Struthio camelus: one gene and its partners. The protein of the gene in region 1 purifies or fractionates together with the protein of each later gene. This does not show direct contact. Links are inferred from orthologs where the notes say so. Each region holds a gene or a part of one and is shown in the gene's direction. Other genes may lie near its edges.

The links.
Region 2: the proteins of KSR2 (region 1) and MAP2K2 purify together in Homo sapiens (affinity purification with mass spectrometry; 3 studies listed by BioGRID and IntAct, with this or other methods). This does not show direct contact. The link is inferred for Struthio camelus from reciprocal best matches to the Homo sapiens genes KSR2 and MAP2K2.
Region 3: the proteins of KSR2 (region 1) and FKBP5 purify together in Homo sapiens (affinity purification with mass spectrometry; 3 studies listed by BioGRID and IntAct, with this or other methods). This does not show direct contact. The link is inferred for Struthio camelus from reciprocal best matches to the Homo sapiens genes KSR2 and FKBP5.

What each region holds. Positions count from the first base shown.
Region 1 is NC_090958.1:5,311,156-5,320,928, forward strand, and holds the start of KSR2 (kinase suppressor of Ras 2), read left to right. Parts: upstream 1-5,905; 5' UTR 5,906-5,921; coding exon 5,922-6,098; intron 6,099-9,773. UniProt on the Homo sapiens protein: Location-regulated scaffold connecting MEK to RAF. Has very low protein kinase activity and can phosphorylate MAP2K1 at several Ser and Thr residues with very low efficiency (in vitro).
Region 2 is NC_090967.1:4,357,923-4,367,187, reverse strand, and holds the start of MAP2K2 (dual specificity mitogen-activated protein kinase kinase 2), read left to right. Parts: upstream 1-5,126; 5' UTR 5,127-5,229; coding exon 5,230-5,315; intron 5,316-6,494; coding exon 6,495-6,705; intron 6,706-8,453; coding exon 8,454-8,600; intron 8,601-9,265. Other genes in the region: CREB3L3 (cyclic AMP-responsive element-binding protein 3-like protein 3), read right to left, coding at 30-161, 614-729, 981-1,236, 1,368-1,490. UniProt on the Homo sapiens protein: Catalyzes the concomitant phosphorylation of a threonine and a tyrosine residue in a Thr-Glu-Tyr sequence located in MAP kinases. Activates the ERK1 and ERK2 MAP kinases.
Region 3 is NC_090965.1:5,057,082-5,066,217, forward strand, and holds the start of FKBP5 (peptidyl-prolyl cis-trans isomerase FKBP5), read left to right. Parts: upstream 1-5,342; 5' UTR 5,343-5,452; intron 5,453-9,136. UniProt on the Homo sapiens protein: Immunophilin protein with PPIase and co-chaperone activities. Component of unligated steroid receptors heterocomplexes through interaction with heat-shock protein 90 (HSP90).

The sequences.
Region 1 (9,773 bases):
CACCGTGTGAGCTGCTTTTTTTTTTTTTATTTATTTTTTGCAGCCACATAAGGAAAAGCAACAGCTCGAAGCTGAGCTCAGCAAGCCTCATCTGTTCCTCTGGGCACGTGACGGCCGGGCCAGATGGCCCTTCGGACAGCAGGGCGAAGAGCCGCGGGGACCTTTCGCCACGCACCTAGGCACCGGCTCGCAGGGGGACCTGGCGCACGTGACGCTTTTGAACTTTGCATGTATTTAGCAATTCTGGAGCCGCTCTTCTCCCCTCCTCGCTTCTGGCTTTGCCTGGGGCGGCTTCTTCTTCTTCAAAACCAAATTTTCCAGGAGTTCCTCCCCTCCGCTCCCGCCGTTATTAATAAATCTTGAATGCCAGAGCGGATGTACGTGCGCGCTCAGATCCGTGGCCGGATTTCTCATGGGCGCTTTCAGCTATTTGTTGACCGCTGTCTAGGCTGGCGTGAAGATTTTTTTTTTGCTGCTTAATGTTGTTAAAATTGATGTCCCCCCCCCCCCCCAACTACTGTGCGTTGTTGTGACGGGCTGAATTGTCAACCGGTGTCTAACGGTGGCTTTCTTGCCTAGCGTGCCTCTTGCGAGGGGGCCAGCAGTTCACATCGTACTTTGCAAACAGCGACACGAGTTTCCGGCCCCGCCGGACGCTTGTCCGCGGCCCCCCGGTGTCAGGCGCGTCCCTGGGCAAGAGGACGGGGGAATCCCGGGGAACCGGTGGCGGTACATCCCGCGGGAAACCGCGGGGAGGCTCTTTGGCGGCGGGGAATCAGCCGGGGCCGGCGGAGCGGAGCAGCAGCCTCCTCGCTCGTCCGGCCCTCGAAACAAACGGAAGGGCCCCCAGGTTTCGAGGGTGGGCGGCGGATGGCACGGGCGCCCGGGACGGGGGCCGCAGGGAGAGCGGCGCCGGCGGCGCGCGCTCTATGGGAGCCCGTCGCGCCGTGGACGACGTCTGCCGAAGAAACGAAGCAGCTGACGTTGCTGAGTAACGCCGCGCGCGTCCAGCCCCGTTACGAAAGCCAGACGCTGATAACGAAGGAAATGAATAATTCAAGCCGCCCGAGACTGCCCGTACAATAGTGAAACGAGGGTGTTTTCTCGTGGCGCTCGCGGCCTGTTCTCGCAGGCGGCGAGCGGCGGGCGCAGCGGCGACGGGCGAGCCGAGCCGCGCCGCACCGCGCCGGCGATGCTATCCGGCCGGCCGGCCATCTGTCCGTCCATCCTCGGTCAGCCAGCGAAGCGATGTCGCAGGGGGCTTGGGGGGACCGTGGCCGCTTTGCAGGCTGCTCTTGACGAGCGGGGGGGGGCTGCAGGCGATGGGGGCTGTCCCGAATCCTTGTGCGCCCGCCCCGGCGAGGCCTCGGCGCGGAGCGGCCCGCTGAGCTTGCTCGGCGGTTGGAGAGCGGCAGGGTCGGCGCGCGCCCTAAGCCTCGGCACGTCTTGCCCCGCGGCTGCTTCTCGGGGTCGTTTTTCAGCGCCCAGCACCCGTTTTGCTTGCGTTGTTTTTTTTTTTTGGGGGGGGGGGTTATCTCGGCTGTCTTTGCGCCGCGGACAGGCCGGGGGGATCGCCTCCTCGCTAGCGGCCAGATGCTGGGCTGGGGCTCCCGGCGCGCTGCCTCGTGCCTCCTCGCGGCCGTGGGCAGCGCGGGACCGTCCCGTCCTTGCCTCCCGCGTAAGCCGCCCGGGAGCGACGACCGTAGAAATGACTGTGCTGGTGGCTTAGATGTTTTAGGCAAAAAATAATCTGTTGTTGCAAACGCGCTGAGTACAAAGAGTGCCTTGCCCTGTTATCTCCGTTTTGGTTATTGAAAGACTTGATTAACCACAGAAGCCAGCAGGAGAGAAAATTTCCAGTGTGTCTTTTTTTTTTTTTCTCTCTCTCCTATTTCCCTGTGCTCCAGCTAATGACAGAAATTGCATTGCATTTCAAACGCAGGCGATATTTAAATATCTGCCTGTTACGGCCTTCAAAAAGTGCCTGCCGCAGCAGTCGACAGGACGCCGTTCTCTGCCGGCCTTTCCGGAGGGCCGTTCCTCGTTATCCCGGGGCTAAAGAGCAGCCGAGCGGGAGGTCGGCTTCCCCCCGCGGTGAGTCGGTTTGGGGCTATCGCAGGCCCGGGGACTGGGCTAGTTTGCACCCAAAAAGAAACCCGGCCCGGTCCTTTGCCCTGGGGGATGCAGTGCTGCCCCGTGAGCTGCGAGGGGGCGATCCCAGCCATCCACCCCTGCTAAAACACAGCTACAACGCACACAGGTATGGGATACACATACACATATACATATATACACACACGCACACACGCACGCACCTGCGCCCATGCAGATACGTGTGAAATTACGACCGACATCGAGAGCGCAGCCCGGCTGCAACGGGATGCTCAACCTCACGACAGCAAAGCAGGATTTCTTTCCCGAGACGAGCTCTGTGGCCGAGGGAGGTTTCTGCCCAGCGGTTTCCAAGCGGCTCGCTAGTCAGTCCCAGTCCGATCCAAACGCTTTGGCAACGAGGTAAACGCTCTAGACGAGCGTCTCCGGGCGATCGCGGGCGCGAACGGAAATGTCCTTCTTCCTGGGGCGCCGCGCGGCCCCGGGCGCTCTGCTCGGGGGCCGGGCAGGGGCGCAGCGGGCAACGTGGCCAGCGATTTCAAGCATATTCCCGTGACTTTTGCACTGCCGTTTGCCCGGCCGGGAAGGCAGCTGTGATCTGCTCTAGGCGCTCAAGGAAAGGTCTGCACCTCTCCCCAAGAAATCGCTCTGGTTGGAGCAGGTGCGCGTTTATTCTTCGCTTAAAACCCGCGAAAGGACGTGACGCCTCCGCTAACAGGAATAATAGCGCTGCGGGCTGGAGAGATGCAGCAGCATCTCCTTGCGAAGGACTGGTGGCAGCTTATGCTGCTGTATTCCTAAGCAATCCGAGCCAGATCTGGAGCTGTACCCAGCGAAATCGTGCTCACCCGCGACGGGCAGGACGACTCGGGGCGCTCTGTCCCTGCGTGAGCCAGGTCTGCCTCCATCCAGACCGGGCTCACGGCCAGGCCGGGCTGAATCCCGCACGTAACCATCCACCCCGCGTCGGCAAAGGGCCGAAGAGCTCGGTTTGGCCGCGCGGGAGGCTCCTTTCACTTGATTTCCATGGACGTGGCCTGGAGCTTAGCCCGTCCCGCTTAGGTGCATTTGGGTGCAATTGCGTTGCTTTAAGTGCATTGCGCTTTCTGCAGGGGCTTGTCTTTCTCTTCCGGCTGTGCCGTGCTGTCTTCGGGTGCGCGGCTCGCAAGGAGCCGGGAGGGACAAAGTGCTCCCGGAGGTCGAGTGCCCGAGTGGGGATTTACGCTCTTCCCTTTGAGCCATTGCCGAAAACATTGATCCTGTAGTGCAGCGCCAAAAATGACCAGTTGTGACCGAATTGACCAGGTGTTGGTGCTTCCAGTGGGATGTGCCCTCCAGGCAGGACAGCACACGCCTGGCTGGGAAGCTAAAATCCCAGTAATTTCTTTAAAACCCCTTTAATTCCCCCCCACAAACCTGCACACATGCACTTGGAAGAGGATCCTTGAGCGCAAGTGAACGGCTTGCGAGCGGGAGGGAGGGATGGAGACGGTCCGCGACGCTGGGGCGATGGGCCAAGCCTGTAAATTAAAACTCCTGCTTAAAGAAAGCGATGAGCAGCACGTTGCAAACCTTCTGGGCCGTATCCCCTGGGCAGCGCCCGCACAGCGTCCTGCAAAGGGGCAGCCAGCGCAGGGCAAAGCTGTCGCCTCGGGGAAGGCTGCGAGCGCGAGGAGCCGCGTGGCCGGGGCGCGCCGCCAGCCCGGCTGCCCCCGCGAGCACGTTTTGTCCCCGGCGCTCCTCTCCCGCGCCTGGACGAGGGTGGCTCTCGCCCTTCGCCCCTTCTGCGTGTATTTGGCGCAGAGGCAGTCCTGGGGTGTGCTGCCCATTTACGCACAGGCGATTGCGCTGTGCGCTTCTGCGTGTGCAGTAGGAGAGCCGCACCGGCGGGGGCTGCTGCAGAAGGCACTTTTAAGGCACATGGCTCTCTGCACGGCGGCGGGGACGTCGGCTCCGGTGTCCTCCGCCGCTCGCTCCCCAAACCGCGGCCGTGGGCTTTCCGGGCCGCTCGCGGCAGCCGGAGCGGCGGCTCTGAGGCAGGAGCTCGCGGGAGAGGAGGGGGAGTGAGCGTGGGGGAGGCACGCTGCAGCAAGCCTTGAAGACGACGTTTGGCATCTTTATTTTTATTTGGCTTTTTTGTTGTTGTTGCTTTTTTGCTCGGTTGCAGGCCAAATCCTGTTGCCACAGCAGGGTCTCTCCTTGGCATCCCTGTCCCCGTTGCAGCTTTTCCGTCTCCCCTGCTCGTGCCGCTCGGTGCAACCCTTGGTGTCGGGAAAGCGCAGCAGGATTTGGCCTGTCCCTTAGCAGCATCGGCTTCCCCAGGAGCAAACCGGGAGGGAGGCAAGGTGCGGGACAGGCACGCAAAACAAACCGGTGTGAAGGGGCGCGGGGAGAGCGAGCTCCCAAAGACGGGGACGTGGGGCCCGGCGCGGCGTGCGGCCTCTCCGCGTGGCTTTGCCCTGGGAGAGTGGCGGGAAGTTAAATGCGGCTCGAGCTCTCCCGGGCCCCGGTACCGTGCTTGGGGTACAGCGGCCTTGCCCACTGGCAAACGCAGGCCGCAGGTCCCCCAAAACACCCCAGGAGGCTTTGTGGGGCGGGAGGGCAGCGGGGGGCAACGGCGCCTTCCAAGGGGGCCGAGCGTGTGCCCTGCAGTGACGTGCATGCAGCCCGGCCGGTTCCCTCTGCAAAGGGCTCCCTCCTGCAGCCCCACTGCAGCCTCCTTAGGCCTTTGGGGGTGCATCTTCCCTGTGCCCCCCTAGCTGTCCCCCCTTCCCTTGCCCTGCAGCGACATGCACGCAGCCTGGCCTGGCTGCCTCTGCCCTGGGGGCTGCAGCAGGGCCCCTGTTGCAGCATGGTCCCTCGTTGCAGCACAGCCTCCCGTTGCACCATGGTCCCCCCTTGCAGCAGGGCCCCCAGTTGTAGCAGGGCCCCCATTTGTAGCAGCATCCCCTGTTGCAGCACAGTCTCCCCTTACAGCAGGGCCCTCAGTTGTAGCAGACCCCTCGTTGCAGCAGGACCCCATTGCAGCAGGGCTCCCATTGCAGCACAGTCTCCAGTTGCAGCAGGGCCCCCGTTACAGCAGGCCTCCCCGTTGCAGCAGGGTCCCCCGTTGCAGCAGGGTCCCCCATTGCAGCAGCCCCCCATTGCAGCAGCCCCCCGTTGCAGCAGGCCCCCCTGTTGCAGCAGGCCCCCCTGTTGCAGCACAGTCTCCAGTTGCAGCAGGCCCCCCTTTGCAGCAGGGTCCCCTCGTTGCAGCATCCCCCCCCCCCCGTTGCAGCAGGGCCCCACTGCAGCCCCCCCCCGAGCCACCGGTGCCCCTCAGCCACTGCAGCCTCGCAGCGATGCTCACCATCCCCCTCCCCCGGCCGGGCACCCCCGCGGCCGCCGGTGCGCAACGGAGGGGAGGAGGCGGCGGGGGCGGGGGATGCCGGTGCGCGGGGAGGGGGGTGGGACCGGGATGCCGGTGCGCGGAGCGCGGGGGGGGGGGGGGCGCGCAGCGAGGGGGGGGGCGCGCAGCGAGCGCGGCCCCGGCGGTGCCTGAGCGCGCCGCCCCCGCCCCCGCCCCGCCGCGCCCGGGGGGAGGCGGCCGCGGCGCCGCGCTGACGGCTCGGTGGGCAGCGCGCCGGGCCGGGCCGGGCCGGGCCGCGCCGCGCCGCGCCGCGCCGCGCCCCGCGGGGATGCTGCGGGCGGCGGCGGCGGCGGCGGCGGCGGCGCGGGGCTGAGGCGGCGCGGGGGCGCGCAGCCCGCATCCGGGCGGCGGCGGCGGCCGCGGGGGGGGTGGGGGGGGGGCGGCGCGGCCGCGGCGAGCGATGGATGAGGAAAACATGACGAAAAGCGAGGAGCAGCAGCTGAGTTTGCAGAAAGCCCTGCAGCAGTGCGAGCTCGTCCAGAACATGATCGACATCAGCATCTCCAACCTGGAGGGGCTCCGCACCAAGTGCGCCGCCTCCAACGACCTCACGCAGAAGGAGATCCGCACCCTGGAGGTAGGGGCCCGCAGCCCCGGGCCCGCCGGGGCTCCCCGGCCGGCTCCCTCGCGGCGCTGCAGTGCGCCCCAGTGAGCCTGCGCGCTCTGCAGGTGGCCCCCGAGCTGGGTCTGGCACACGCTGAATGTTGCTGTCTGCCAGGAGGACCGGGAGCATCCCCGCGGCCGGCCTCCAGCCTTGCTGGCAGGCTGCAGCCCCTCGGCCGGCAGCATCCCCTCGGCCGGCAGCATCCCCTCGGCCAGGCTGCAGCCCCTCGGCCGGCAGCATCCCCTCGGCCGGCAGCATCCCCTCGGCCGGCAGCATCCCCTCGGCCGGCTGCAGCCCCTCGGCCGGCAGCATCCCCTCGGCCGGCAGCATCCCCTCGGCCAGGCTGCAGCCCCTCGGCCGGCAGCATCCCCCCGGCCGGCAGCATCCCCTCGGCCAGGCTGCAGCCCCTCGGCCGGCAGCATCCCCCCGGCCGGCAGCATCCCCTCGGCCGGCTGCAGCCCCTCGGCCGGCTGCAGCCCCTCGGCCAGGCTGAATCCCCTCGGCCGGCTGCATCCCCTCAGCCGGCAGCATCCCCTCGGCCAGGCTGAATCCCCTCGGCCGGCAGCATCCCCTGGGCCAGGCTGCTTCCCCTCGGCCGGCAGCATCCCCTCGGCCGGCAGCATCCCCTCGGCCAGGCTGAATCCCCTCGGCTGGCAGCATCCCCTCGGCCAGGCTGCAGCCCCTCGGCCGGCAGCATCCCCTCGGCCGGCAGCATCCTCTCGGCCAGGCTGCAGCCCCTCGGCCCAACTCCTTCCCTTCCTCCGAGCTGCATCCCCGTGGCCGGGCTGCGTGCCCCTCGGCCTGGAGCATCCCCGTGATCAGGCTCCAGCTTCTCTGGCAGGCTGCATCCGCTTGGCCGGGAGCATCCCCACAGCTGGGCTGCATCCCTGCAGCCAGGCTCCAACCTCTCCAGTAGGCTGCATCCCCTCGGCCAGGAGCATCCCCTCAGCCGGGAGCATCCCCTGGGCCGGGCTGCGTCCCCTCAGCCAGGAGCATCCCCTGGGCCAGGCTGCATCCCCTGGGCCAGGAGCATCCCCTCAGCCAGGAGCATCCCCTCAGCCAGGAGCTTCCCTCAGCCAGGAGCATCCCCTGGGCCGGGCTGCAACCCCTGGGCCAGAAGCATCCCCTGGGCCAGGCGGCATCCCCTCAGCCGGGAGCATCCCCTGGGCCGGGCTGCACCCCCTCAGCCGGGAGCATCCCCTGGGCCGGGCTGCACCCCCTCAGCCGGGAGCATCCCCTGGGCCGGGCTGCACCCCCTCAGCCGGGAGCATCCCCTGGGCCGGGCTGCACCCCCTCAGCCGGGAGCATCCCCTGGGCCGGGCTGCACCCCCTCAGCCGGGAGCATCCCCTGGGCCGGGCTGCACCCCCTCAGCCGGGAGCATCCCCTGGGCCGGGCTGCACCCCCTCAGCCAGGAGCATCCCCTTGGCCAGGAGCATCCCCTGGGCCGGGCTGCACCCCCTCAGCCAGGAGCATCCCCTGGGCCGGGCTGCATCCCCTCGGCCAGGCTGCTTCCCTTCCGCTGAGCTGCATCCCCCGGGCCGGGCTGCCTCCCGCCACCCGTGCTGCATCCCTTCCACCAGGCTCCATCCCCTTGGCCAGGCTCTGGCCCCTGGCTGAGGGCAGGCCGGCATCCTCATGGTGCAGCGCCTCTCCCGACCCTCGCAGCCTGCCGCGGCGCTGGGCAGAGCCCCTGCGGGAAGGGGAGGCTTCGCCGAGCCGCGGCCTCCAGCTGGGCCTCGGGGCTGCCGGCTGCTCGGGGGGCGAGGGCTGCGGGGCTGCTGCCGGGAGCCGCCGAGGGCTGCGGGCAGGAGCCGCGGCCGGGAAAAATCACGCATGCCTCTGCGGCGGCGGCTCCTTTTAATGCCGGGGAGGTGGGCATGGGGATTTTAAGAGGGTTTCTGAGGCCTGAAGCCCTCCGGCCTGGCAGCACGTGGGGCGCAGACCCGGCCAGCCCCTCGCTGGGGCCTGGTGCGCGGGAATCCCATTTATTTCCTATATCGGTAGAGTTTTATAGCTGGCTGAAACGTGCATAAGTAAAAGCTGCCAAGTGTCAGCGCTGGGTGCCAGAAGGGGCGGCTGGACTGGGCTGTCATGTCCCAGTGTGCAGGCGTTTGCCCTGGAGCGTGCTGAGACCCCCGCAAGAGGGATTTGGCATTAAATGGGGGGGGGGGGAGGCAGCAGGCCTGGCCGGGCACGGGGATGCCGGGCTGCGGGAATCGGGACCGCGCCGGTGGCTGGGCTCCTGCAACCTCCCCTCCGTGGGGCAGTTTTGCACCCTGGGCCGCTGTCGGACTGGTCCATGCTGGCGCCTGCAGCCCATCCTCGGCTTGCAGGGGCGCAAGCAGGGCAGCCGGGGCCGCCGGTTGCTGTGCACCGATCCTGCTCCCGTCGCTGCCTCTGCGAGCCGGGCAGCGGGGCTCTCACGTGTTTTTGCCCCTCTCCTGCCTAACGCCAGGGGTAAACGGGAGGCATCGGACGGAGCAGGCGGAGAAACCCGGGGCAGGAGCGTGGTGCGGCGCCCCGTGCTCCGCGGTCTGTCCCACGCCAAGTCTCGGGGACGGCGGGGACGACGGGGACGAAGCAGGGCAAGGGGGCTGCGAGCTCAGCCCGGGGGGCGAGTGGCTCGACAGCAATTTTGGGGTAACTGGGAGACTCCAGGAGAGCGAAGGGGGGCTCGGAGGTGCCGCGGAGCTGCTGGTTGCTGCTGCTGCCTCCACCCGCGCCCAAGTGCCCGCGGGGACGAGGAAGGCAGGGGGGAACAGGCCGGCTCCAGGCAGCACCTGGACCGTCGCGGCTCTGCAGCAGGAAGTTCACGCCGCGCGCGGTGACGGCTGCACGAGTACGCGGGTGCGCCCTTCAACGGGGACGCTCAGAGCAGGGGGGCGGCCGGCGGCGCGGGTGAGATGCTGCTCCGGGTCGTTGGGCGCCGGGCAGCGCAGAGCGGTCCCCGGGGTGCCGGACCGCGCCGCGGCCCCGTCCCCGGCTGCACCCGCCACCACGGCTCGCGTTCGCCGTGTGTCGCTCCCGGCTGGCGCGAGGCTCGCGGGATGGGGCCGGCCGACCGGACTTCCAGCGCCACGTGGCTGCTCGGCTTTTCCTGCTGAGCGCGTTTTCCTAAGGCGGTTTGCAGCGACGAGGCCAAAAAGCAGGTATCTAGGGGCATTTTTCTGGTGCCGGGCCCAACGGCGTAGAGCCGGCCCGACTCCACGGTGACGGTGGTGACCTGGGGTCCCACCGGAGCCAGCCGCCACTGCTGCCGCCCGGCCCCGCGGTTCTTCGCGTCCCGCCTGGCTGCAGCAGCACCGGGGCGGGCGGCGGGGGGCTCCGAGGTCGCGCGGGGCGGCCGGCGAGGCGGAGGAGGCAGCAGCCTTCGCGGCGGGCGGCACGAGCCGCCTGGCTGGCGGGACCCCCCGGCGGCCGCTGCGCGCTCCCCCAGGCAGTGCCGGGGCCGCGTCGTGACATCGGGTCTCAGCCCGGCCGCGGCGGGGAGCCATCCAACGTTGCCTTTTTTTGCTTAATCCTGATGTGCAAAAGCCCGATTTTGGGGGATTAATAGCAGTGCCTCGATTCTTCTTCCCTTTTTTTTTTTTTTTAAAACCGTCTTCGGGTCCACGCAAGTCGCCGCGTCTCACGTGCTGCGGCCGCGC
Region 2 (9,265 bases), on another chromosome or scaffold:
GCCCTGCGCCCGGCTGCTGTGGGACCCACCTTGGTGAGGGGCAGCTGCGTGGGCAGGGACACCCCCTCCTTCGCCAGCAGCTTCTTCTCGTCCTCCGTCAGCACCAGCTCCTGGCACTGCCCCTGGCTCTGCCGCAGCAGGGAGCTGGGCACCGGCAGCTGCTGCAGGGCCATGGACTGGTGATGTCCCCAGGGTGCGGGGTTACCCCGCACCCACCCCGAGGGACCATGGGGGCCGAGGGACCCCCCTCCTCCAAGGGACCAAGGCCCCAGAGGTAACAGCAAAGTTGGGGTTGGGGATGGGACCATGGTCCAGGAGGGTACAGGGAGAGGGATGTGGATATGGATGGGACCATGGTTCAGGAAGGGACAGAGATGGGGACAGGGATGGGGTTGGGTCCATGGTTCAGGGATGAGGATGGGATCATGGTTGAACAGGCGACAGGGATGGAGATGGGACCATGGCCAAGCAGGGACAGTGATGGGGACAGGGATGGGGATGGAACCATAGTTCAGGGATGAGGATGGGATCATGGTTGAACAGGCGACAGGGATGGAGATGGGACCAAGGTTCAGGGAAGGTAAGGGGTGGGGACAAGGGGACAGGGACTCACGGGGTCAGAGCTGCCTGAGAGCAGCAGGTCCTTGACGGTGAGGGTGCAGGATGCTGGCGCGGGGGCCGCAGGTGGGTCCTGGCTCTCCTCCAGGAAGAAGCCCGGGTGCCACATGTCTGGGCAAGAGAAGAGCGGGTGCTGTCAGCAGTGCCGTGTCTTGTGTCCCCCCCGACCCCAGTGCAGGACTCCTGGCCAGCTCCTCCAGCTCCTCCCCCATTAATCCCAGTCTGCCCAGTTCCTCCCGGTTCCCCAGTTCTTCCCAGTCCCCCAGACCTGCCAGTTCTCCCCAGCCTGTCCAGTCCCCTCCAGTACCCCTAAGTGCCCCCAGCTCCCCCAGTGCCCAGCCCGGTCTCTCCCCACAGCTCACCCAGGTCGATGGAGACCTCGGGGCGCGGGGCCCCAGGCACCCCCAGGAGGAGCAGGGGCTGGCCGGGGTCGGAGTAGGGGTAGGAGGCCTCGCCGAGCCCCCCGTCGCAGCACCCCAGGGGGCTGTCGAGCTGGTCGGAGGGGGGGTCCTCGGAGACCCCGCTGTCACTGGCAGCTGGCGACCAGCCGGGAGAGTCCGATGCTGAGTCCCCGGAGCCCAGGATGGAGCTGATGAAGTCCTTGCTGTCCTGGGCACGCTGCAGGGACAGGGGCGCCCGTCACCGTGGTGCACCTGTCCCCACGGGGCACCCGTCTCCACGGGGCACCCATCTGGCAAGGTCCAGGGTTCGGGCTCTCGTGCGAGGCAGGCCGCCCCACCGGGACTCACCGCGTCCTGCTGCCAGGGGCCCGCGGGCATCCGCAGCTCCATGCCGCGGAGGATCCCGTCCTCGCGGTCGAAGAGGAAGTCCAGCAGGTCGAGGCTGTTGAGGCCGCCCACGCTGGAGGCCATGGCTGGGGAGGCGGCAGGGTCAGGCCACCGGCCCCGGTCCCCCCTGCCCCATGGTCACCGCTGGCCTCTGCCCTCCTCCCCAGGGCCCAGCCACCTCCCCTGAACGGCATGACCCCAGGGCTGGGGCGCCCGAGGACACCCCGAATTGTGGGATGGGCACAGGGCTGGTGCAAGGGACACGTGTGTGAGACTGTGGGGACATGTCTCTACACACGTGCGCACAGTTGTGACTATGTGGACACGTGCGTAGGAGCAGGCAGATGTGTAGGTAGGTGGCTGTGACCATGCTGACACGTGTGTGTGTGGGGCCACGTGCATGTGTGCATACCTGCAAGCGTGTGACCATGTGCCGGTGCACGGCCATGCAGCTGCGTGCTTGTGGGCATATCTGGACAGACGTACCCACGTATTTGTGAGTGTGCGAGCGCATCCAGGCAAGCCCAGGTCTCCGCATGTGCACGTGTGGGAGGCAGAGCACGTATATGGCCGGGCACACATGTGCATGCACAGACTTGGGGGCCCAGGGGTAGCTCTGCTGAAGCTGGGTCCCTCCCTCTGCCCCCTTCCAGTGGCTGAAACTCCCACTCCCTATGTTTTTTCCCCCAAGAGAACTGCAAAGCCAGGGCTGACCCTCCCCACGGGCACACACTTGCCCCGGCACCCCTGGAACAGGAGGACGAGGGGCACCCAGGCCTGGGTGCTGCTCAGCTTCCCCAACAGACCCATCCGCCACGCGCGACGTGCTCGGGAAGATCAGGTTAATCATTTTGGGTGGTTAACATGGTGGGGGCAGGGGCAGCTACTGTTGGCCGGCCCCGAGAAGGGGACTCAGCCCTGGTCTACCAGGAACGCGCCAGTTATCAGGGACGGTTTGATACCCCAGACCCAACCAGCTGGCCAACGGACCAGGTGACCAACCAGCTGGCTGACCAACTGGCCAACTAGTTGACCAACCCCACCCAACTAGTCAACCAGCCGAATCAATCAACTGACCAACCAACAGACCAAATGGCCAATCAGCCAGCCAGCCAATTGATTGACTAACTGACTGACCAATCAACCAACCTACTGACCGACTGACCGACCAACCAACTGCCCAACTGACTGATCGAATGACCAACCGGCCACCCAATCGATTATCAAACTACCACCCAACCACCCAATCCACCACCCCTCTGACCCTCCCAACCTATTGACCACCCACCCAAAGAGCCCTTCAAGCCCAGTTTGGGAACATGACATTTGCCCAGCCGTCCCCAGGACGGGGGTTCATCGCTCCTCGTCACGCTCGCTCTCTCCTGCCAGCAAGCCCCATCGGCCCCGGGGCTGACGGAGCGGCTCGAGTGCCCAGCGGTGAGTGCTGGCAGCCAGGACCTACCTGTGCTAGATCCCAGCTCTAGCGGAGCAGGGTCTGTGGGTCCGTCCCGTCCTTCGAACCCCCTTGGCACGCAGAGGGAGCGGGCCGGACACCGAAGCCAGCCTCCTCCTCCTCTGCGGTGCCCTGACCCAAGTGGCAAAGTTTAAACTCCAACCACACAGAAATAGCATCAAGGATTGCAAAATCACCCGGGCCCTGATTGGGGATCAGCGCTGAGTGATGGCCGGGCTGCCAGGAAGGACCTGCGCCGCTCCGTAATTCATTAGCTAAATGTTTTTGTCCTCCTCCGCTAAGGGGGGGCAGGAGGGGCCAGGGCTGGTGGGGCAAAGTCCCGGCTGCCGCAGCTGCCAATGAACTTTCACCCATTTCGGGCCCAATTTCCCTTTTTTTAGATCAGCGTATCAGCATTAATTGCGTTATATAGGTGTTGAGAACAACATCCGGGGAAAATGTTGACTTGGACTCTGCTACTTATCTTGTGCTCAACAAATGTTGACCCCTTCTGGTCCCGGGGACCAGGGTGAGAGCTGCTGGGCTGGACGCCTGGGTGCTGCCACCCAGGCCGGTGCTCCCACGAGGGCTAGCCCCTGCCCTCCGTGCCTCAGTTTCCCTGCTAAGGGTTGGAGTTTGTTGGCTGCTGCTTTCCCACGTTTCCCTCTCCCTGTGGTGAGGGCGTCAGCCCGGAGGCACGTCAGCCACAGCACCCTCCACGCCATGACCCCAAACTCCAGTGGGATGGAAAAAACCCCGGGCCTGACGTCCCGGAAAGGCACCTGCGCTCGGACAGCCCCCTTGGGGGATTTAACATCATGACACAGATTTACACGGGCCTGGGCATCCTCCTTCCTTACCCAGACTGGGTCCACTTGGCCTCCAGACCCCCACCTAGATGCCACCAGAGCTCCTTTGTGCCACAGAGCTCCCTCATTGCCTTGCCAGACCAGCATTTTGGAGACTCATGGTCCGATCCTGCTCTCCGTCGGTAGGTATAACCCCACCCCGAGACCCCTCTCCATGGGGAGAAACACCTTTGAGGAGGGAAGAGCCAGCCACGGCCTGAGCTGGGCCAGGCAGTGCAGCTGGGCCACGGCGCGGGGAAGGGAAGGGTTTGGCCTCTTGCAGCTCCCCGTGTGGCAGCCCAGCGGCGAACCGGGAGCCCCGGTGAGTAAGAAAGCGTGTGACCGAGGTGTGGCAAGCGGGACGGCGAGGACAAGGCCGTGCGCCTGGCACCCGCCCGCTGCCCGCGGCCGTTATCTCGCTGCGCGACGCCCTCTGATCAGGCACGGCGGCCCGATCCGGTGGGGCACCCAGCGCCGGCCCGGCTCGGCCGCGGCGGGACCCTCGAGCAGGGGCCAGGCGGCTCGTCCCCGTGCCCGTCCCCGGGATGGAGGTGTCACAGCGGGTCCCTGGAAGCCCGGGCACCACGCCGAGAGCCTTCGCCCTCAGCGAGGAGGGGGAGAGCCGGGCGGAAAACGGGGGCCTGGCGGCGACGGGAGCCGGGCCGGGCGCGAGGCCGCGGTTTTACCCCTCCGCCCCCGCGGTGACGCCGCCGCTCCCGGCCCCGCCGCGCGCGTTTATTGCCCTGCTGCCGGAGACGGGAACCCCCTGGCGCCCGAGCAAAGGGCGCGCGGCTCGGCCTGGAGCCGCCGCCATCCCGGCCCCGGCGCCGGCCTCTCTTCGGCCTCCCGGGGCCGCGGCCGGGCGAGGCCGGCCGGCTCCTCGGCGGCGGGAGGCGTGAGGGCGAGGCCGGCCCGCAGCGGCCGAGGCTGCTAACCGCCCCGCTTCGTTAAGGCCCTCGACCGTTACCCTCGGCCTTTGCTGGGCGCGCGGGGCCGCCGAGAGCGACCGAGGGGGCCGGGGCGGCCGGCGGGGCAGGCCTGGGAAGGACCCGACGCCTGACGCCCGCTCCTTCCCTGTGACGCCCGCTGCCCGACGGCCCCCTTCTGCCTGGCTCTGCAGCCTTTGTCCCTTCGGCTGGGGTTGTCCGTCCCCGCCGCCGTCGCCCTCCCGGAGCCCCCTCCGTCCCCCTGCCCGGGCCTTCGCCGCCTTCTCCCCGTCCCTCCCTCTCCTCCGTCCTCCTTCCCTCACCCCGCGCCGCCATCTCCTCCCTCCGCCCTCGCCCTTTCCCTCCCCTCCTCCACCTCCCCCCCCCGCGCGCGCTCCCGCCGGCGCGCGCTCCCGCGAGACCCGCCCCGCGCTCTCGCGAGACGCCGCCGCCCCGCCCCTCCCGCCGCCGCCCGCGGCTCGGCCCCGCCCCCGCGGCTCGGCCCCGCCCCCATCCCCTCCCGCGCGCGCTCGTTGGCGCGCCCCCGCGGCCATGCGGCCGCGCCCCCGCTAGGCCCCGCACGGCCCGGCGCGGCCATGCCCGCCAAGAGGAAGCCGGTGCTGCCGGCCCTCAACATCGCCCCCAGCCCCGCCGAGGGGCCCAGCCCCGACGGCTCCGCCGAGTGAGTGAGTGGGGCGGCGGCCGCCGCCGGTCTGCGCCGTCACGGCGCTGCCACCGCCGCGGCCCCGGGCGGCAGGATGGGCCCGGCCTGGGGACGGGGTGGGAGAGCCGGCGGGAGGCAGGAGGTGGGGAGGGGGCCGGGCCCCCAGGGTGGCTGGGGACCAGGGGGCAGCTGGGCAAAGCCGGAGGGGGGGGGGGTGTCCCGGCAGCGCTGGCCGGCGTTGGGGGGCTGAGGCGAGGTGGGGTGGGGGGCTAGTCCTAGAGGGCAGGGGACAGGGAAGCCAGGCTGGGGGCCGGGGGCAGTTTTGGGGGAGGGAGGGGAGCGACTAGGGCTCAGGGGGAGCAGGATGCGGCACTGGGGTCGGGGGCTGCCGGGCGGTGAAAGCTTGGGGGGGGGGGGGCAGAGCCGCCCGTGGGGCTCCGAGCCTGCTGGCTCGGGTCCCCCCCGCCGCTCTGGGGCGGAGGAGGAGGCTGGAGCCGGGTTAGGAGGCGCGTAGGCCCGCGCCGGGCGCCCCGGGCAGCAGGTGCTGGGGGAGCACAGACATCCCTTTGTGCTCGGGCGAGCGGAGGGGCGGCCGGGGGTGTAACGGAGCAGGGGGATTTGCTGGACGCCTGGAAAGGGCCTTCTCGTGTTTCGCCGTGAAACCCAAGCTCGGCTCCCTGCGCTTGCGGAGCGAGAGGTTGCTCGCTGGTGCTGTCGCTCTCCCCGGGCTGAGCTCTGCTGCCCCTTTAAGGGCCGAACGATTTTCCCCGCTCCTTGGGGTTTCCTGAGACAGCTGACTGTATTAAAAAACCTCTCTGGAAGAGATGCAAGTGTTGGGCAGACATTGCATCACTGGTCTCTGCTGCCCGCACGTCCCCATCAGCAGCGTAGCCAAGCCTTGCGTCTCTCCTGAGCTTTGTTTTAGTCTCTCTGCTATATCACGGTTTTGGTCTGATTACGCGTAAGATGGGGCTTTTCTGTTATTTCCCTCTCCTTCCCTGCAGTGTCAAACGTTTTCCACTAAACGGTTTTGGGAGTCTCTTCCCTCTGGTTGGGCCCTCCTCTCTAACCCGTCGTGAGCCGTGCTTTCGTTTTGCCTCTGCCGCTAGAGCAAAGGACCGGACAAGCCCCCTTTCTCTGGCGATGGCCCCGCAGACTCCTGACCGTTTCTCCGTTCTCCTCCTTGTCTTTCTCCAGGGCGAACCTAGTAGACCTTCAGAAGAAGCTCGAGGAATTGGAACTGGATGAGCAGCAAAAGAAGCGCCTGGAAGCTTTTCTCACCCAGAAAGCCAAGGTCGGGGAGCTGAAGGACGATGACTTTGAGAGGATCTCTGAACTGGGAGCCGGCAACGGCGGCGTGGTCACCAAAGTGCAGCACAAACCCTCAGGACTCATTATGGCACGAAAGGTAACGGAGGGGCAGGTGCCCGGGGCCTGCTGGAGAGGTAAGGCGCAATGGCATATTGCGCTCATCCCAGCCCCAGGAAAGCCGGATTCGGTCAGGATCTCTCTGCGTTAACCCGTTCTCACGCTGAACTGAGTGGTATCCGTCTTGGTTGTCTGCTCTGGCGATTCTCTCCTGCCTGCCCCGGGAATAGATGCGGCTCCTTGAGATGTCAGCCGGGGTGGCTGTTGCGCGTAACAGAGGGAGGGGAATTTGGTTTCCTGCACCTTCTTGCCAAACCTGGCAGCCAGGTAGTGTTTGTGAGATGGGCTCTGCTCAGCCCCACAAATTTGCATACAGACCTCGTCGCCTGGGTTGGTAACGACTGTCCCTGCTGCCCTGAGCTGGGTTTTGTGTGTAGCCTCTCTCCCCTTGTCTCTTAGCAATCCAGCCGTTTCGCCCTTCACCAGTGGGCCCTCCGGGGAGGGGCAGCGCGCTCCGCAACAGATCCCTGGGGTTTTGCAACGTGTTTTGTGGAAACGCGAGTTTATTCTTTTTCCGTCTGCTAAACTGGATGGGGAAAACAGGCAACAGAGAGTCTTAGGTTGTAGCTAATGAGGACTGAAAATTCCTGGTGGAAATTATAGAGAGAAGGATTCCCTGTGAGCACAGCAGCTCCCCTACTGCAAGCCCGAGCTTTGAGCTGCTCCTGCACAGACAAGAGAAAGTCTTGTGTGCCTGGCTCACCCCCCAGCTTCCGTTTAATTGATCCCCAAGACAGTTCCAAGCAGCCTTGCAAGTCTGTCATGACAACAGAGCCTCTCGAGCATGGGTTTATGGGAGTCATCTCTTGTTGTGATGCTCTGTGATAGAAAAGGAGAAGATATTTTATCTGCCTGTTAGAAAAGGCAATGCTCAGTGAGGGAATAGCGCAACCGCTAATCCACGGGACAACTTCCTTGAAAGTCTCTGTTCTCGCTGCTGTGGGAGCAGTTTACAAGGTAACGGCAAGGTTCAGTGGTTCTCAAGAGCGAATATGTTTCTTTAGGCAGCTTCCCTTGGAGCTGACATCTCTGAGGTTTTCCATTGTGGCATTTGATTTGGGAGCATTACATGTAACTGATTTTGAAATTACTGCAGCTCAGAAACTGAAGCTCAAGGCAAGGTTAGGCAGCACAGTGCTGTGCGTCCCTGCAGAGACCAGCCTTTGTGGCCCTGTAGGAAGGCCAGAAGTCCCTGGTGAGGGAGGTCTTAGAGCTTACAGTAACAGTAGCTGCTTTTGTAACCTGGCGTCACGTTTTCCAGCCTCTATGGCTTCCCTACCCACAACTTTGTTAGCTGACTCTACGTGGAGCCCAAGGAATAATGCAGTTGGTCTTTCAAGTGCATAATCTTCATGTTTTTTTACTTTCTGTGGTTTCTTTGATATCAGAACACCTCTTATATTCTTACAACACCTACAGAGCTTGTGAAAATGTTGTGTGCTGAGTCAGATCTGCACCCAACTTCTGAGTTATCTTTCTGCTCTGTAGCCAGTGTGATCTCGGCATGTTACTTGGGCCTGCAGTTGCTTCAGTTGCTAACAGGCTGCGCAGCACGCTGGTTGTCCCCTTTATCCTTAATGTTTAGCATGCAAACAATAAAGTCTAGGTCAAAGCAGAGCTTCCTCGAGTGCTTTTTAATTTCTTTCCGGCACTGAGGACAGGCTCTCATGGCCCCGTAGTTTTTTTCCAGGCACTATACTTTGATGTTATTTTTTTCTTTCTTGGCAGCTGATTCATTTAGAAATCAAGCCAGCCATCAGGAATCAGATTATCCGGGAGCTGCAGGTGCTGCACGAGTGTAATTCCCCATACATTGTGGGTTTCTATGGAGCCTTCTACAGCGATGGGGAGATTTCCATCTGCATGGAGCACATGGTGAGTCCGTGTTCCTCCCCTGCAAACTGCTGCTCTCCGGTTCCATGTTCTGAGTCGCATCTCAGCGAGACTGAAACTGCAGGCAAAGTGGGTAAGCCTGCTAGCGCTCTCAGCTGGCAGCTGCAACGGCTTCTTGCTCTGGCTGCTTTGAGGGCAACAAGGCCGTTCAGCTCCTGCTAGAAGCTGCGTGGTCCTCCTTGGGCATCTAAATGACAGAGAAGTTGACTTTCTGGAAAGCAGAAGCAGAGGTTTGGGGGCCGGCCAAGCGGAAATGTTGTAAACCTGCCACTCTACAGAACTCCCCGAAGTGCAGTGTGCGTTTTCTGTTGTCTCTGGCAGGGAAGAGTGTTGTTTCTCCTCTGGATCAGTGCTGACAGCATCATCTTTGCATTGACCTCTAAGGGAAAGCATGCTAAAAGCTAACAGCAAGAAGTAGAGATGATAGACGACAGCTTTAAAATCGTTTTCAGTGAGAGCCAGTTTTAACAGAGATCATCAGAGATCTTTTCCCTCCTAATGGGAGGGTTCTTGGTGCCGAATTGTTACTGACAGCTGGGCTGGGATGCTGTATACTGCTCATATACCACTTAACCTCAGCAGGCATGCTAGACTGCATGGCCAGTTACTCTGCTTTTCTGCTGGGCTTTGGTGTGTTGATAATTTCT
Region 3 (9,136 bases), on another chromosome or scaffold:
AAAGCAACCTTTCTAGCAAAAAAAAAAAAAAAAAGAAAAGTCATGAAACGCTTTCGGGTTTTTTTATTTCGTGCCAAAACCAATCGGAGATTTGTCCCGGCCTCTCCTGTTTTGCCTTTGCGTATGATAGAGGGAGCAATGGCAAAGACGCTCCTGGTTTTCCGCTCTCGTGTCTCTTCCTGGGGCTGGAAGAGGTGAACAAACTCTGCGGCGAACAGGGCCCGGGCAGCACCGTGGGTCGCGCCAGCCCTTCGGTCCCTGCTTGCGCTCTCCCTTGGCAGCAGAGCGGGGGCAAAGCCAACAGTTGGGAAATGCTGCAGGGCCGGGCCGGGGCCGCCTGGGCTCTGCCGTGGGCCTCCCGCGCCGCGGGCTTCGGGGCTGCTAAACTGGCTTGTAAAGCGGGGCGTGGGGGGGGGGGGCAGCACCCACGAGCTGGAGGAACCGCGCACGCCAGGGTGTCGGGCTGCTTTGGGGATTGGCGGAGGATGCTTGGAGGGGAGGATGCACCCCCGGGGCGCGACGGGGGCGCAGAGCCGCGGGAAACCCCGGACGGGCTGAGACCGGCTCAGCTCGTGTCCGCAGTGGGCAGGCGGGCTGCAGAACCCGGGCCGGCGGCGGCGGGGTTGCAGTCAGCCACCGGCTTCGCCGCAGCCCGATTTACCGGGAAAAAGCAGCGGCGGCGGAGGGAGGGGGGAGGATGCCCCTCGCTCGGTATTTTTAGCAGCAAATTGCCCGAAACGCCGGGTGGGTGCAAACACCGGCGGGGGAGGGGGGTAGGTATCCGGGGGGGGGGGCGCCCGCAGCCCCGCCGGCAGCGGCAGCGCCGCACACCCACTTCCCCGGCTGCTGAGTCAGGCTGTTCCCGGCGCCCGCCGCCGCTCGGTACATCGTGTCCCCGCGCCGGGGACGCCTGGCACCGCGCCCGCCTCGCCGCGGCCCCGGGGTCAGCGGCGGAGCCGCTTTCCTCCGCCAGAAGAGCGAACCGAGTTTTCTACCTTAAAAAAAAAAAAATAATCGCAGCCGCCCGGAGCCCCTTCGCTAAACCGGCCGTGCGCCGGGGCCGGCGGCGGGCTGGATGGGGCCCGCCGGCGATGCTGGCGCTCGTTTTCTTTCCTTTTTTTTTGTTTTTTATTTTTTTTTTCGTTGTTTATTTTGGAAATGCAACCCGAGCCCTAGCCCGACCCAGGCTCGTGTGGATGGGCGAGATCCCCCCGCTGCACATCCCCCGCCAGCAGCGCCGGCGGGAGCACCCGCCGAGCCCGGCCGGTCCCCGCGGCCCCGGAGGAGGTTGGTACAGTTTGTTACGTCCAGGCCGGAATGTACTTTGTGTTAAAAGTGGCCCGAGTCCAGCTCTCCAAAGCTGGACTTTATTTATACTCCGCGCTCCGGCCGCGCTGCATCCTGCTGTCACTTTCTCGGGTTTTTATCTCCGAGGGGGCGAGCTGCTGGCCGCTCCCGGCGCCCGCCGTGGGGCAGAGCCCTGCCCGGCCTGCCCTTCATCTCCCGTTCTTCTCCTTTCTTTCTGTCTTTTGGTTTTTTTTTTTTTTTTAATTTTTTTCTCAGCGGCGAGATAATCCAGGAAAATGTTTGCGTCCTTCCAGCCGGTGGAAGCGTCCCCGGCGGCAGCTGCCTGGAAGGAAGCGGAGGCCGGGCGCCGTCGGGCGATTTCGGGCCTGGGCGATGCTGCGGGTCCGGCAAAGCCTCCGCTTAAGGGTGCCGGGGGTTGGGGGGGGGGTGAGGCCGGGTGCCCTCCGGCTGCCAGATTTTGGCGAGGCTTTGGGAAGAGCCTGGCATCGGGGTCGCGACGGCGAAACCCGGGGGGGGGGATGTGAAAGGCTTTGGCGACCCCTCGTGCCGCCGCCGAAGCCCCGACGGGCCGGGGCCGCCCGGCCCCCGCGACCCCGCTAGCCCGGAGCGCCGGGCCGGCCGCCAAGCAAACAAAAGGAAAAGAAAAAAGAAAAAAAAAACCCCAAACAACCGATTTCCTTTGATCTCCCACGTGCTCGAGAGATTCACTGTGATGCGGCTTTCAGATTTGAAGCCAAACGGGAGGGACTTCTTTTCCCTCCTCTCTCTCTCGAGTGTTCAAGGCAGATTAACTCGGGTTATTTTTAGAAAAAGGACGAATTAAAAATATCCCCGATTCTGTATTTGCGCCCTCCGCTCTCGAGGTGCAGCCGGGGGGGGGCGCCCATCGCCGGGGGGGCGGGCGCCCATCGCCGTCGGGGAGGATCCCGCCGGGCTCGGCCGGCGTTTTGCGGGGTTTTGCGGGTTTTTTTTTTTTTTGCGGGTTTTTGCGGGGTTTCAGCGCGGGGCCCCCGCGCTTTTCGGGCAGGACGGAGGGGTCAGGGCGCCGGGCAGGACATGTGCGGCCAGCTGGATGGCCGGGGGGAACAGCCCGTCCCCCTGGCAGCGACAGCAAAGCCTTGGGAGATTATTTATGGTTTTTCTGGCTCCGGAGGAGCAGATTTCCTCCGAGCTTGTGTTACAGGCCCCGGGGGCCGGCGGCCGCCTGCGGGGCACATTCGGGACCCCCGAGCTGGCAGGGAGCCGGGGGGGGAGGATAAAGCATTTTGCAAACTTTCTCGGCCCCGGTTTCACCCTGGACGTGCCGGTGCGCAGCCCTGATTGTTTTGCAGAACATTTTTTTCCCCTGCGGCTCCTGGAGCACCCCGGGCTCGGGCTAGCATCCCCCGAGCGCTTATTGCCGCGGCATCCAAACGCCGCATGAATGAAAGGCTCCAGGGATAAAATACCCCTGGGATAAAATGCTCCGGGGATAAAATGCTCCAGGGATAAAATGCTCCTGGGATAAAATACCCCTGGGATAAAATGCTCCGGGGATAAAATGCTCCTGGGATAAAATGCTCCTGCACACCTGCAGCGATGCAAAGCACAGCCCCCCTCCCCGCCCGCCCCATCCCGTTTCTCCCTCGCGGGCACGTTTGCCCAGGGAGCGCTAGCGGCTGCAGCCCGCTCCGAGCCGGTTCGGCTCCCGTCCGGCCCCGGCCCCGGCCCCGGCCCCGCTCCGCGCCGCCCAAGACAAACGAGCGCCGCGAGGCTCCTGTTTTGCTCGAAATTCAAGCGAAATTCAAGCGAAATCCAAGCGCCGGAGCTGCGGGCTGAGGACAGCGCGATCTTACATAACGCCTGGGCGGCGATACCCAGGCACAATAGGGTGAAGCGAGGACAGAGCGGCTGCTTTCACCGTGAATTTCCTGCCTTTTGGAAGTTTGCGTCAGGCTCGCCGCTTTAATGTGTGTGTGTGTATATGTGTGTATTTTTTTATAATTGAATTTCCTTTTTAATGCGGCTGTGAAATTAGGAAGGGGGGTGGGGGACTGAGTTTGGAGCAGCGCCTCTGCCCCGGCTGCGAGGCGGGCGGCAGTAGCACGAGGACTCGAAAGGTCTCTTAAAAACACACAAAAATAACACTTGCCAAGTATTTTGCTTCCCCCCGCCCTTAAACAAACAAATCGACCGTTTTTGTGGTGCAGCGGCAACCAGCGTGGACCCCCCCCCCGACGGCCGCCGTCGGCCTGGGTGCGCTTTTCCCAGGCTTTGCCGTTACCCCCCCCCCCCCGGCACCAAAAGAAGCTGCCAGTTTGGGGAGGGCGCGTTTGGAAAGCCACAACGTTTATTTGGCAAGTGGAAATGTAAAGCCCTCCGAGGCCGGGCCGGAAATATTTCAAAGCAGCTCTCCAAATCGTGCGGCTGGGTCGCTGCCTCGTGTTCCTGAAAGGGCGAGATTCCCCCCCCCCAACCCCCCCCGGCGTTTCGGCTTTGTTGTAACGCATGACGCTGTCAGGAAGATAAATCTTCAACTTTTTTATTTTTTTTTTTTAAAGCGGGCTTTAATTTGAACTCCCTATTTCCAGTGAGTGCCGTCGGTGTCGAAATGACAGCTGGGGGGGGGGGAAACCAAAAATCGAATTCAGCATCAAAAAACAGGCGCGCAAGAAAGCATCGATAAAACGAGCCGTCCATTAAGCCCGTCCCCGGGCGGGTGTATTGGAGGAACGCGTGGGAAACGGGGAGCAGGACGGGAACGGGGCACACGAGCTCGAACGCCCGTCTAGGAAAACGCCCAGCGTGGCGTTTTCGCTCGGCGCGGTGGGCCAGCCCGGCGGCCTCCCAGCTCGGCCGCGGCGATGAGCTGAGGTCCGCAAGCAGCGGTAGGATACTTGTTTAAAATGCATTTTTATTTTGCCTAATCTCACATGTCGACGCCGCTCCTAACAAAAATCTTACCTGCTTTAAGCCGAGCGGTAACGTTTTTTTGCCTGTTCCAACAGTCGGCGTGTCCCCCAACAGAGTGCCTTTCCATCACTAGCTTTCAGACTTTAGCGCAAGTTTATTTTCCTGGTGGGCTGTGACCCATAATAACCCCCGGAGCGCTGCACGGCGCTGGGGTCCCCCGGGACATTGCACAGGGCTGCTTCATCCTCGGGCCGTTGCACGGGGCCTGGGACCCCGGGGGGCGCTTCAAGGGCCCGCAGCAGCCCCGGGGACACTGCAAGGGGCCACGGTGTCCCCGGGGTGCAGTGTGGGGCCGGGGTACCCCTGAAGGATTGCATGGGGTTGGTTGGTCCTGGGGACACTGGGTGGGGCCAAGATCTCCCGGGGGCCATTGCACGGGGCTGGAATTGCCCTGGAGCGCTGCACAGAGCTGACCCCCACCCTGGGGTGCTGCATGGGGTCGGGGTAACCCTAGAGTACTGATTGGCACCCCGGTGCCCCTGGGGGACATTGCACAAAGCCCTCGCCCCCCCTGGGCATTGCACGGAGCTGGATCCCCTGGAGCATTGGACGGACCCCCCCTGGGGCATTGCAAGGGACTGGACCCCCCCCCCCCGGGGGCATTGCATGGAGCTGGATCCCCCGGGGCATTGCAAGGGGCTGGATCCCCTGGGGCATTGCATGGACCCCCTCCCCCCCCGGCGCATTGCACGGAGCTGGATCCCCTGGAGCATTGGACGGACCCCCCCCGGGGCATTGCAAGGGACTGGACCCCCCCCCAGGGGCATTGCATGGAGCTGGATCCTCCTGGGCATTGCACAGACCCCCCTCCCGGGGCATTGCAAGGGGCTGAATCCCCCGGGGCATTGCACGGACCCCCCCCCCCCGGGCATTGCCCGCCCGGCGCTGGGGTCGCTCTGGCTTTGCCGCCGCTGCCCCAGCAAGTGCGCGGGGCGGGGCGGGGCGGGAGGGGGAGGACCGAGGCGTGGAGGGGGGGGGTGGGGAAAACCTCCTCATTTGCATAGCGCCGCCACCGAGCCAATGAGAAGGCGCTGCGGGCAACATCGGCCGAGACGGGCAGGCGGGGCGGCCAATGGAAGGCGGGAGAAGGGGCGGGGCGCAGCGGCCGGGGAGACTCGGGCCGGCGCGGGCGCGCGCGGTGCCACTCGGAGCCGGGCGACGCAACGGAGCGTGAGCGGCACCGGCGGGGCAGGTAGGGCCGGGCCGGGGGGGGGCGGGGGCTGTGTGGGCCCTACAGGGGGCTGGCGGTGCCCTGTGTGGGGCAGGGGGGGCATATGGGGCCGGGGGGGGGGCTTTGGGGGCCGGGGGTGCCCTGTACAGGTCTGTGTGAAGCTGGAGGGCCCTATATAGGGCTTGTGGGGGGCCCTATATGGGGCTGGTTGGTGGGCTGGATGGAGCTGGGGGGCACTGTATGGGTCTGTGTAGGGCTAGGAGGGGGGGCTCGTATGGGTCTGGGGGGATCCTCTATGGGTCTGTGTGGGGCTGGAGGGGGGCCCTCTATGGGTCTGTGTGGGGCTAGGAGGGGGGCCCTCTATGGGTCTGTGTGGGGCTAGGAGGGGGGGCTCGTATGGGTCTGTGTGGGGCTAGCAGAGGGAGCTTGTATGGGTCTAGGGGGGCCCTCTCTGGGTCTGTGTGGGTCTGGGGGGGGGTCTGCATGTGCCTGCAGCTCTGTGGGCCTGGGAGGTCCTGAATGGGGCTCTATGGGGCAGTGGGGGTAAGGGGGGTACATAGGAGGTTGGGGGGGGTCTGCAGGGGGTTAGGGAGGGTGCCAAGATCTGCACAGGGGGGCTCTCCGTGGGGCTGGGGGGGGTCTGACTGATCCCTTCCCTGAGGAGGGGGTTGGTGCCTCCGGCTGTTGCAGTGGTGGTGGTGGTGGGGGGACAGGGTGGGGGCCTCGGCCCCACAGCCCCCTCCCGGTGCCGGGACGGTACAGAAGTGGAGGAGGGCGACGGGACGGGACGGGGGACCGTGGGGCCTCGGCCAAGGCGAGGGGCAGGGTCGGCCCCGAGCCGCAGCCGCGGTTTGGGGCACCCGAGCCCAGGCGCGTCCCCCACTTGGCGTTGGGGGGCCCTTGGGGTGCCGGCCCCCAAGCCGCGCGCGCCCTGCTTTAGTTCGCCCTGCCCGAAGGGGCAGCGCCGGGGTGCTCGCGTCGGTGTTTCCTGGCTTTAGTGTGCTGTGTTTGTGATACCAGAGCCCCCCAAGGCCGCAGAAGCTGATGTCCTTGCCGTACTTTACTGCAAGCGCTTAGCCAAAAAGTTTAACTTTCTTCTTTGCTCTCTGCGAGAAATTTCACTTGTTTCCAGAATCGTGTGATGTCTTTATGCGAGTAGTGACCGCGAGTCATCTACTCTCGCTGCAGGCAGCCCGGTGTCTTTTGCCACCGGCTAGTTCTCTAAAACGTACCAAAACCTCTGCATCAAATAGGAGTCCATGTCCTTTAGTTTGTGACAATGGGGAACTACCCAAGGGAGGTTATTTTTTTCCCCCGGTTATAAAGGCACAGAGTTGTCATAAAATGGGGTTCCTCTGCCTCGTTACTAATGTTTTCTCTAATAACATCTGCCAAAAATATTGTATAGAATGTGAACATAAATATATAGTTTCACTTGGAGTAATTATAGCAGATGGCCCAAGGTTAATGTACTTATTTTTCTTTTTTTTCCCCCCTATACTCCTACTCTTTTCCCCTCCTCTTAGTAGACAGAATAGCTCTTTTGAAGCTACTATTTTCTAGTGTGCAAACGCATATTCAGATAAGCGTATTGTTGTCAAAAAAGAATATTTTACGTGATGAGCTAGAAGAGCTTTTGAAGGATAAATTCATCAGTCGTGCATTGCGGCTCTGCTTGGAGAGTTCCAGTTGAGGCTCTGGTGCTGCAGTCAAGTTTCTGTCTTCGCTGTGAAACTGTGCATGTTAAACAAACAGGGCTTTGCCACGGTCAGTTAATACTGCAGATGAGGCTGGTGAGCTGCTATTTTGTGGAATTTCCTTCCATCAGACAAGTGTATTGAATCTAAATATACGTCTAACCCCCCCCACCCCCGCCTCGAATCAGGATTTGATACTTTAGTATTTTAAAGGTAATGTTTGTTTAAACGATGGCTTTCCGTAATGAGTCGTTAAGCTGGATTCAGGACGTCACTGGGGACCAAATCTGTGCTAGAAACTGGGATTACAAGTAAAAAGTTGAAAGCACAAATTGTTCTTTCCTGCGAAATGTATTGGAGCCACATTGCTGCTTCTTCCTCATCCTGCCCCGTGAATGTACTTATGGGGAAGAAAGTTAATTAAATCTCCTAGAACTTTTATCCAGCTTTTATTGGCAATTTTCAGAGGTGGAATAGCTTTTGACCTAATTAAGGTATTTCTAATCAGAATATTAACCAAGGATTTGCTTTCAGTTTTGCCTGAAATTGCTGAACGTTGTCGTTTTGTGACCTGAAGTGCATAGATTTTATATTTGCAACTTAGTTTTATCCCGTTGGTACAACACAACTTGAGAGGATGTAAACGCCAGCGAGGCAGAAGAAACGCTTGCTGCAGTTTGTAAAGGGTTAACTAGGAGTAATGGGGTTGAGTGAAAATAACATTTCTGCGCTGCAGAAGAGTTTTACAGAGCAAAGATACTTTGCAGGGCTGAGGACTAGCATTGCAGCGTTATATAGGACATGATGAACGAGGACAGCAACATCTGAGAAGTTGGAGGCTGAAAGCAGAAGAAGGACGAAATGTTACAATAAAACTGCGTGTTTAGAGTAGTCGCAGGTAATCCTGTACTACGCAGCGTGCTTGCAAAAGAGTGGAGCCTTTCTGCAATGAGAGGAAAAGTGTTGCCGGTATGGAGGAAACTGGGGAGCAATCTGCCCTCCTTTCTGTTCCCAAATCCGGTTATTTTGGGGAAAGAGCTTAAACACCCCATATCATAATTATCTGTAAAATGAGGATCAAGATCCCATTCTCTGGGGTTCTCGTGACAGTAAATCGAACCACAAATTTTGCTTGGCTGGGCAAATTTGTAAATTCCCATTTACAAAAGGGGCAACTCCCATTTTTGGCTCTTCCCTCTTTGCAGTGCTGTAAAATACCTAATATCTTGTGCCTTGAGGCACTGTTGCTGCCGTGAGGAGGACGCGTGCCCCAAAGCAGATGGGAACGTGCACCCCGGGGCCCTTCGGCGGTAGGGGGACCAGGGAGAGGCGGGCGAAAAAGGATGACTGTGAAGGCGTGTGTTGTTCTCCTACCCTCTCCTACCTGGAGAGGAAAGGTGCAGGGCATCAGGAGGCAGCTGCTTGCGCAGGGATAATCAAGAAGTAGGGATTTTTAGGAGAATGACACCTACAGCAGAGTAGTATGAGAGGAAGGCCACGGGATGGGTGTTCTGGACAGGTTAAGCAAGCGGCGCTCGGGCTGGGGAAAATGTGATGATGGTGTGGGGAAAAAAGCAGATTTTGGTGGAATTGGTACAGAAGTTATCACTTCTGCTGAACCCCCCCCGGGGGGGAGCGGGAGGGTGGAATCACATGTGACCTCTTGTGGTTTTGGGCAGAAGGGGCGAAGAAGAGCAAGCAGCGAACGGGGACGAAAGGACGGGTGTGCAGGGGGAAGGTGACGTTTGAGGTCTCTGTAGCATGTTTGTGAGTGGGAGCCGGTGCCGGAGGGGGGGTCTGGGAAGCCCCTTGGGGGCTCCTACCTCAAACCCAGGAGCGGAGGAGACCTGGGAAGACGTGGGCTGCTAGTGATGCCCGTCACCCTGCCAGCCTTAACAAAGCGGAGGCATCTGCTGGGAACGGCTGGAAGTGGAGGCATTGCTTTTTCTAGGGAGACATGCATAAAAAGGAAAGTGATTTGGGGCAGGGGGGGAATACCACTGACTTT